Rattus norvegicus: one gene and its partner. The protein of the gene in region 1 purifies or fractionates together with the protein of each later gene. This does not show direct contact. Links are inferred from orthologs where the notes say so. Each region holds a gene or a part of one and is shown on either strand. Other genes may lie near its edges.

Evidence for each region. The genes of interacting proteins can lie anywhere in the genome.
Region 2: the proteins of Slc39a7 (region 1) and Fam174a purify together in Homo sapiens (co-immunoprecipitation; 3 studies listed by BioGRID and IntAct, with this or other methods). This does not show direct contact. The link is inferred for Rattus norvegicus from reciprocal best matches to the Homo sapiens genes SLC39A7 and FAM174A.

The regions. Positions count from the first base shown.
Region 1 is NC_086038.1:4,824,037-4,827,783, forward strand, and holds the start of Slc39a7 (zinc transporter SLC39A7 precursor), read left to right. Parts: upstream 1-1,086; 5' UTR 1,087-1,387; coding exon 1,388-1,780; intron 1,781-1,863; coding exon 1,864-2,032; intron 2,033-2,159; coding exon 2,160-2,213; intron 2,214-2,321; coding exon 2,322-2,504; intron 2,505-2,612; coding exon 2,613-2,750; intron 2,751-2,926; coding exon 2,927-3,123; intron 3,124-3,604; coding exon 3,605-3,747. Other genes in the region: Rxrb (retinoic acid receptor RXR-beta), read right to left, coding at 404-932. UniProt on the Homo sapiens protein: Transports Zn(2+) from the endoplasmic reticulum (ER)/Golgi apparatus to the cytosol, playing an essential role in the regulation of cytosolic zinc levels.
Region 2 is NC_086027.1:103,189,013-103,192,759, forward strand, and holds the start of Fam174a (membrane protein FAM174A precursor), read left to right. Parts: upstream 1-1,250; 5' UTR 1,251-1,313; coding exon 1,314-1,747; intron 1,748-3,747.

The DNA of each region.
Region 1 (3,747 bases):
AAAAAGGGAGGCAGTTCAGGCGGAGCCTATTGGGTCATCCCAAGCTGACCTCGGGAGGGGGGTGTCAAGAAGCACGTGGAGGTGCACCAGTGAACCCCTCGTTCCCAACTTAGAACATTCGGGGCGAAGAGTATGGAAGATATACCCAGTCCCAGAGCGCAAGCTCAGCCTTCCAAAGCCCAGAGTCCTCCAGCCCAAGGGGAATGGTGTCCTTCCCACGCCCGAGACCGCACACACTGGCCCCGCGGCGCCGCACCTGGAGGGCGGAAGCTCCCCCGCCGCGCCCCGCCCCGGGGGAGGGCGCTGGGCCTCGGGATGGAGAGGGCGCGTGTTTACAAACAAGGGGGCGGGAGAGCGGGGAGGGGGCGCGAGGGGCGCCGGCCCGGGCCCACGGGACACTCACCCCGCCCGCTGTCGCCCATCCCGTCCCGGCCAGCCTCCCCCGGCTCCGGCTCCAGGGTTTGCTGCTCTCCGGCCGCCGCCGCCGCGGGATCCAGCCAGGGCCGCCGCCGCCGCCACCGGGACGCGACCCCACAATGCATCTCTTTTCTCACCCCCACCGGCCCACACTGCCCCGCGGCATGCCGCGGCGGGAGGAAGGGCGGACGAGTGGCCCAAGACATGACGCCGGGGCCGAGGGTGGGGGAGCCGGAGAGGCGCCAGGGACGCGCAGGGGGCAGAGCGGGGGACTCAGGGAGCGCGAGGAAGCCGCCGAGGAGGGCGGGCTCCGGCCTGTGGCAGCGCGACTCAAGCGCCGCGCTCGGCTCGGCACCGAGGTGACAGCACCGACGCGGCCGCCATCTTTGTATAGACGGGAAGTCTCGCCTCGAGCTCCCGCCCCCTCGCCGAGATGGAAACGGAGGAGGCGGTCTCCGCCGGCCTGTCAGCCACTTCGCCCGCCGTCCCCTCAGATAACCCCCGGGTGCGCGCATGCGCCCTGGGGCCGTGGCCGCGCCGTCCTCGGGGCGCCGCCATGTTGGTAAAGGTAGCGGGGCGCAGGCAAGAGGGAACTTCCGGATCTCGCGGGAGCTTGAGGCGCGAGTGCCACGTCCCAGCAAACCGAGAACGGAGAGGATCCCGGAGCCGGTGAGAACTCCCTGCTGCTCCCTTACGGCGCTTTCCATGCTTTTACCCTAACTACTGAGCCATAGAGACGAGGGCCCAGAGAGACCGTAAAGTTGCGGATCAAAGGCTAGAGCGGTGTTGGGGGGTGGGAGGTTTGGGGGAGCTGCATCCAGGAAGGGTGTCGGGGATGAAGAGAACTGGCCTTGGGAACAATGTAAGAGGGGAGCAAGTGGTATAGAGTGGACGGAAGGGCTTCAAGGGAAGCGGATCCCGCATAGGTAGAGAGTCAAGTAGACTCGTCTCTGTTCCTCTGGTCAGCGTGATGGCCAGGGTCCTGCGGGACCCCCACTGGGTGGCTGTGGGACTGCTGACCTGGGCAGCTTTGGGGCTGCTGGTAGCCGGACACGAGGGTCATGGTGACCTGCACAGAGACGTGGAAGAGGACTTCCATGGCCACAGCCACGGACACTCACATGAAGATTTCCACCATGGCCACAGCCATGGCCATGGCCACACTCATGAGAGCATCTGGCATGGGCATGCCCACAGCCACGACCATGGACATTCACGGGAGGATGTGCACCATGGCCATAGCCATGGCCACTCCCACGATAGCCTCCACCACAGAGGACATGGACATAGCCATGGAGCCTCTAGGGAGGCTGGGGCTCCAGGCATCAAGCACCACCTGGACACTGTCACCCTCTGGGCCTATGTGAGTCCCCGGGGGACGTGGGGAAGAGGGACTGGTGCTTAATTGTTGGAAGACTCCATATTTGCTTTCTGACTCTCCTCCAGGCACTGGGGGCCACAGTGCTAATCTCCGCGGCTCCCTTCTTCGTGCTCTTCCTCATCCCTGTGGAGTCAAACTCTCCCAGGCATCGTTCTCTGCTCCAGATCCTGCTCAGTTTTGCTTCTGGGGGGCTCCTGGGAGATGCCTTCCTCCACCTCATCCCTCACGCCTTGGGTAAGTGACATGTGGGCTCCATCTCAGAAACACAAGCTGTTTTGTTCGTCCTCTTTAATGATCCCAGGTCTCCCAATAGTTCTCAAGTACACATCCCCCATCTGTCCTTTTTCCCTTCTTCCTGTAGAACCTCATTCGCACGATACTCCGGCACAGCCTGGCCACGGACACTCCCACAGCGGTGAGAAAGAGTTAGGGACTGGGACGCTGGGAGAGGCCTGCCTCTTCCCTTCCTTCAGCACTTATATCTGAGTCTGCATCGCCCTCATGCCTCATTCCTCCATCCCAGGCCAGGGCCCCATTCTCTCTGTGGGGCTGTGGGTTCTCAGTGGGATTGTCGCCTTTCTTGTGGTGGAGAAGTTTGTGAGACACGTGAAAGGAGGGCACGGACACGCGCACGCGCACGGACACGGACACTCGCACGGAGACAGCCACGCGCACGGACACAGCCACGCACACGGGGATAGGCATGGTGAGCCCACCCCCATTGCCTGCTACACAACACGCTCAGGCTCATCCGCTGGAGCAGGACACGGAAAAAGCTCTGTTCCCCACTCTGATCAACTCCTGTCCCCCTCAGAGTGTCCTTCAAAGGGAAAGCCCAGTTCAGAGGATGAAAAGGAAGCAGGGGGCTTGCGGAAAAGGAGAGGAGGAGACACGGGGCCCAGAGATGGCCCTCTGAAACCTCAGAACCCTGAAGAAGAAAAAACAGGCTCAGGTAAGGGATGAGTTGATGGGCTTACTACTCTGAGTTTCTCAGAGTGTTTGCTGTGGGTGACGGTGGGGCTCTAGGAAATGGAGTGTGCATGCGTGTGTGAGCATGCACGAAACAGCTCGAGGACTGGTGGTGATGACACCTTCAGTCATTTTTGTCCTTTGTCTATTTACAAAAAGACCTGCGTGTGTCTGGGTACCTGAATCTGGCTGCTGACTTGGCACACAACTTCACAGACGGGCTGGCCATTGGTGCTTCCTTCCGTGGGGGCCGAGGGCTTGGGATCCTGACCACGATGACAGTCCTGCTGCATGAAGTGCCTCATGAGGTTGGGGACTTTGCCATCTTGGTCCAGTCTGGCTGCAGCAAGAAACAGGTTGGTGCTGACAGCCTGCCATTGGTTCCTCACGAGCTACACTACCATCCAGCCTTTTAGAACCCGGGAAAGTTGCTTCTCTATCTCCGAATCTCAACCCTCCCATAAGTACAGCCTGGAAAGGGCCTCTGATGGCCTACAGTTTCTCAGGAGATGTCTGTTCTAGTACCCCCTCCTCGACCCTTTATTTTTACCAGGCTGGTATGGGGCTGGGGGCCTTGGGTGTGGTCCTGAGGCAGTCTCATTGCTGACATGTTAACTAGCCAGGGAGCCCCAGGCAGCTGCTTGCCTCTGCTTCCTGTGCTGGTGCCTGGGGCCCAGACTCCTGCCCTGGTGTTTGTGCAGCAGATACTACAATGGGTCCATCTCCCCACCTCACTTTCTGTCTCCTATCCTTACATGGACACCACACAGCTGTACCCCACTGGTCCCCCAACCTTTAGTTGTTGATGATCCTGTCTTTCTCCTTTCTGCCCTCCAGGCGATGCGTCTGCAACTCTTGACTGCAATTGGAGCATTGGCAGGCACAGCCTGTGCCCTTCTCACTGAGGGAGGGGCAGTGGGCAGTGAGGTGGCTGGTGGTGCAGGTCCCGGCTGGGTTCTGCCATTCACTGCAGGTGGATT
Region 2 (3,747 bases), on another chromosome or scaffold:
TGCTTCGTACCTCATTTTAAGATGGGTGCAGGCTCTCTAGAACATGTCTTCAGCTGTGATTTTTTTTTTTTAAGGACATGAAAGATTTTTCACTTTCTAATGGCTCTTGTCCAAAAGGAAATAGTATTTCAAGTCATGATGACTTCACTCTCAATTAACCTGTGTCCTAAGGTCACAAAACAAGACACAGGAGGGTGAGGGCAAGAGAAAGAATCCACACTGAATACTTTCATAAGTCCTCAGTAGCTACTGCGGGTCTTCAGAGTGATCCTGAGAGCTACCAGGACATGGACTATATTATAGTTCCAGTCTTAAGTAACTGACTCTTGACAGATGTTTGAGAAAGCTAAAATTCTGTCTATTATAAAACTGAAAGAAAGCTCAAGAAAAAAACTAAGCATATTTATATTCAATCCCTTTCCCAGTGCCCCAAGCAGGTGTCTGCTTTGTGTCAGTGTTACTTGATGGAAATCGTAGATAAAGACAACTTTATTCAAATGTAAGAGTACAAAACTTTGATCTCAAGTTCTGAAAATACAGCCTTATGTGTTTGCTAAGTTAATATGCAAACTTTCGGTCTTCTATTAAGTCCTGGGATAGTTTTGCAGCTTAAGGCACCCCATAAGCAGAAACTAGTAAATAGGGACATATTTCAAAAGAATGACTGTAGGTCCCTGGAAACCGACAAGAGGGTTTTATTTTACAAATATTTACATTTTAAAGGAGGAGAATCGGAATAAATAACTCTACATTTTCTAAAGTAAAAGATTCCAAGGAAAGTCGGAACCCTTAAAGCTAGGAAAAGCTCTCTTTAAAGTTTGTAAGAGAGAGCTAGTGTTTACTGATTAGGTGCAGTTTGGAAGTTCGGCATCAAGGAAATTAAAGCGAGTTTGGTATCGCTCACGTTTCCCCACATTCTTTCGTCTTGTTCAGGTGACCCATTCCAGCCTAGCTGTCTCACTAATAGGAAGACTCATGAAGAATGGAAAGCCTGGAATAGACCGCCCGGCTGAGGGTCCCACAGCCACGCGTGCGCAATAGGCTCGAACACCCTGACGTCACTGAGCGCGGCCCGCCCCTACATATTAGCAACCGGAGGCGTCCGTAGCAGCAGTGGCTGCGGAGATGTACGAACTTCCGGTTGTCCCCGCAGGCCGCCGCTGCCGCCGCCGCCGAAGCCGCCCGGCGCAGTCTCAGCCACCTGCTCTCCGCCGGAGAGTGGGCTCTGCGGTTCCGGCGCGCCCATGGTCGGCGCTGCGGACCGGGAGGCCGGCCCGGCGGCTGCGGCGTGCTGAGAGGCCGGCGTGGAGACCATGCCGACCCGGCGCGGCTGCTCCGGGCCTTGCCACTTCCTGGCCTCGGCTTTCGTGCTGCTGTTGCTGCCCGCGCTGAACCAGTCCGTGGTGCTACCGTCGACTGTGCCCAGGGCGGTGCAGGAGTCCAAGCCTCTCGAACCCGGGCCGCGTACGTTGTCGCCGCTGCCTCCCGGACCCACCGCGGCCCAGCCGCGAGGCCAAGCTCAGTCTGAAGGCGCCGGGCCGCGAGGCGCGGAGAGCCGCAATGGCAGCATTCCCGGGGCGGCGTCCGAGGCGGACGGTCCTGAAGGGAAGGCCGGAGAAAGCTCTCTGGGTGGCAGCCTGGCCGTGAGTCCCAATCCTAGCGACAAGCCCATGACCCAAAGGGCCCTGACCGTGTTGGTGGTGGTGAGCGCCGCGGTGCTGGTGTACTTCGTGGTCAGGACCGTCAGGTGAGGCATAGCCTCGATGGGCATCCCCTGAGGCCTAGAGCTGGCTGACAGGAGGCCTGCTGTGTGAAGCAGGGAGAATGTTTGTAACCTGGGCTTCACTCACCCCCTTCTCTGGTCCCCAGTCCCCAGCGTCAGGGGCTGGAATCTAGGACCTTCTGGTTGGCTGTCTTAATGGCCTGTGCTACCTTAGCAGGTGACACCAGCTGTTGCCTTTCATCTGTAATTCAGTAACCTACCTTCAGCATCTTGCTCTCTGAGACTTGCCTCTGCCTTAATATACCCCGAAGTGGAAGTGCTCTCCCATCCCCTGAAATTTTGACAACACTGCTGTGCGATACTTTACATACTACTCTGCACTTGGTGTAACTCACCTGTCAGTGCTGTCGCCTGTTAGAATGCAGTCCTATTTGTCAGTCAGGGTACCACGAAAGTAAAAGCAGAAAGACCTAACGGACCTTTCACTTCTGCAAAACTTACCAGTTGTGTTTCTTAGATGGAGCCCTTGATCTATCCCTAAGTAACTTGTACTCAGTTTATTGGGTACTACATCTCTGGAGAGGTATCAAATAGAGAAGACCCCACCAGAAGGGGGTAGCCAAGAGAACAGCTGTGGAAAAGCTAATGGTTTTTCCTTTCCCTAAAGTAAGAACAGATGGTATTTTGTGAGATTTGTACTGGTTTATTTATTTCCTGTTTTCCAAATTACTTCACACTTTCCCCATAACTACACACTGCATTAGTTAATATGTCTTTAAATCCCCAAAACAGAATTTAGTGTTTTTAAAAGGTGTTTGTGAATGGAAAACCAACATGACTTGTCTCAAAGAATCTTACAGAATTTGTTCCTTTTACACATCTTCATTAGCTACAGTTTTACATTTGTTTTCCAAATAATACATTATCTTACAAGTGTATAAAATACAAACACTTTACTGGTAAGGTTTGAAATTCTACATTGAAACTGATAGCAAGGAAGTCCGCCCTGTCTAGTTAGTGTTGTATATCTTCTTAAAGAACAATCAAAAATTGTGTATTAAATTGATCCCTTCTTTGCCAAGGTGATACGTTCTTGCTGGTGGATTTTCTTTATATCCATTAACCAAATATTACAAATGATTGGATGCAGACAAAAATTTTACAGTCTATGGTATCTTTTCCTTTTTCCCATTTTTTTATTTTTTATACATGGTTTAGGCCAAATGTTAAATAGATTTTTGAAGACAAAAAAAGTCATTCTTTTCACTATTTTTGGTTTTAAGAACAGCTAACTTAAGGGTTAAGGTTTTTAAATCAAGTGTTTTCTTTGTTCAGATCAGGTCAGAATCTACATAGCCTCCCGAATTCTTTAATAAGTTTTAAGAATGGAAAGGAATTTAAAGCACTTAAGAGCGCCTCACATAAACAGTGTCATTGAGCTAGAAACTGTTGATTTACAAAGTTCAGAAAACTTGTCACTTTGTCACTGGGAAGTTAGTATTCAGAAGTTATTAAAAGCTTACGACCACCAAAGTGAGACTTAAGAAATCTTAGCGGAGAATTAAATCATTTTTACTATGTAGTTTTTATTTAATACTGTGCATAATTCCTGTCAGGACCATGTTATCCTTTATAGAAAGCATGGCTATACTGACCATTTCCTTGACGTGCTGCTTGTTCTTGTGTTTTTATTTTGTCCTCCCTTACTTGGCATCTTCTGTAAAAATGGTCACTGCTATCACCTCTCTGTGTTCCTTTCAGTACATCTTGAAAGGACTCACCCTTTTCTGATTCTCGGATGATTCCGTATCCTGTGGTATGAGAAGAGAGAGCCAGATTTAGCACTGTTGCTGATAAAAACTGCATACTTCAGGCAGCGTCTAACCCGTTGGTGTACTTCAAGTTCTACATTTAGTTGGCTGTCTAACATCCAAAGCTTAGTTGATGCTGACTAAATCTGGGTATATCCAGAACTCTTCCTCTTTCCTTCCAGATTGTGCTTTTTATCCTCATTATGGTGGTTG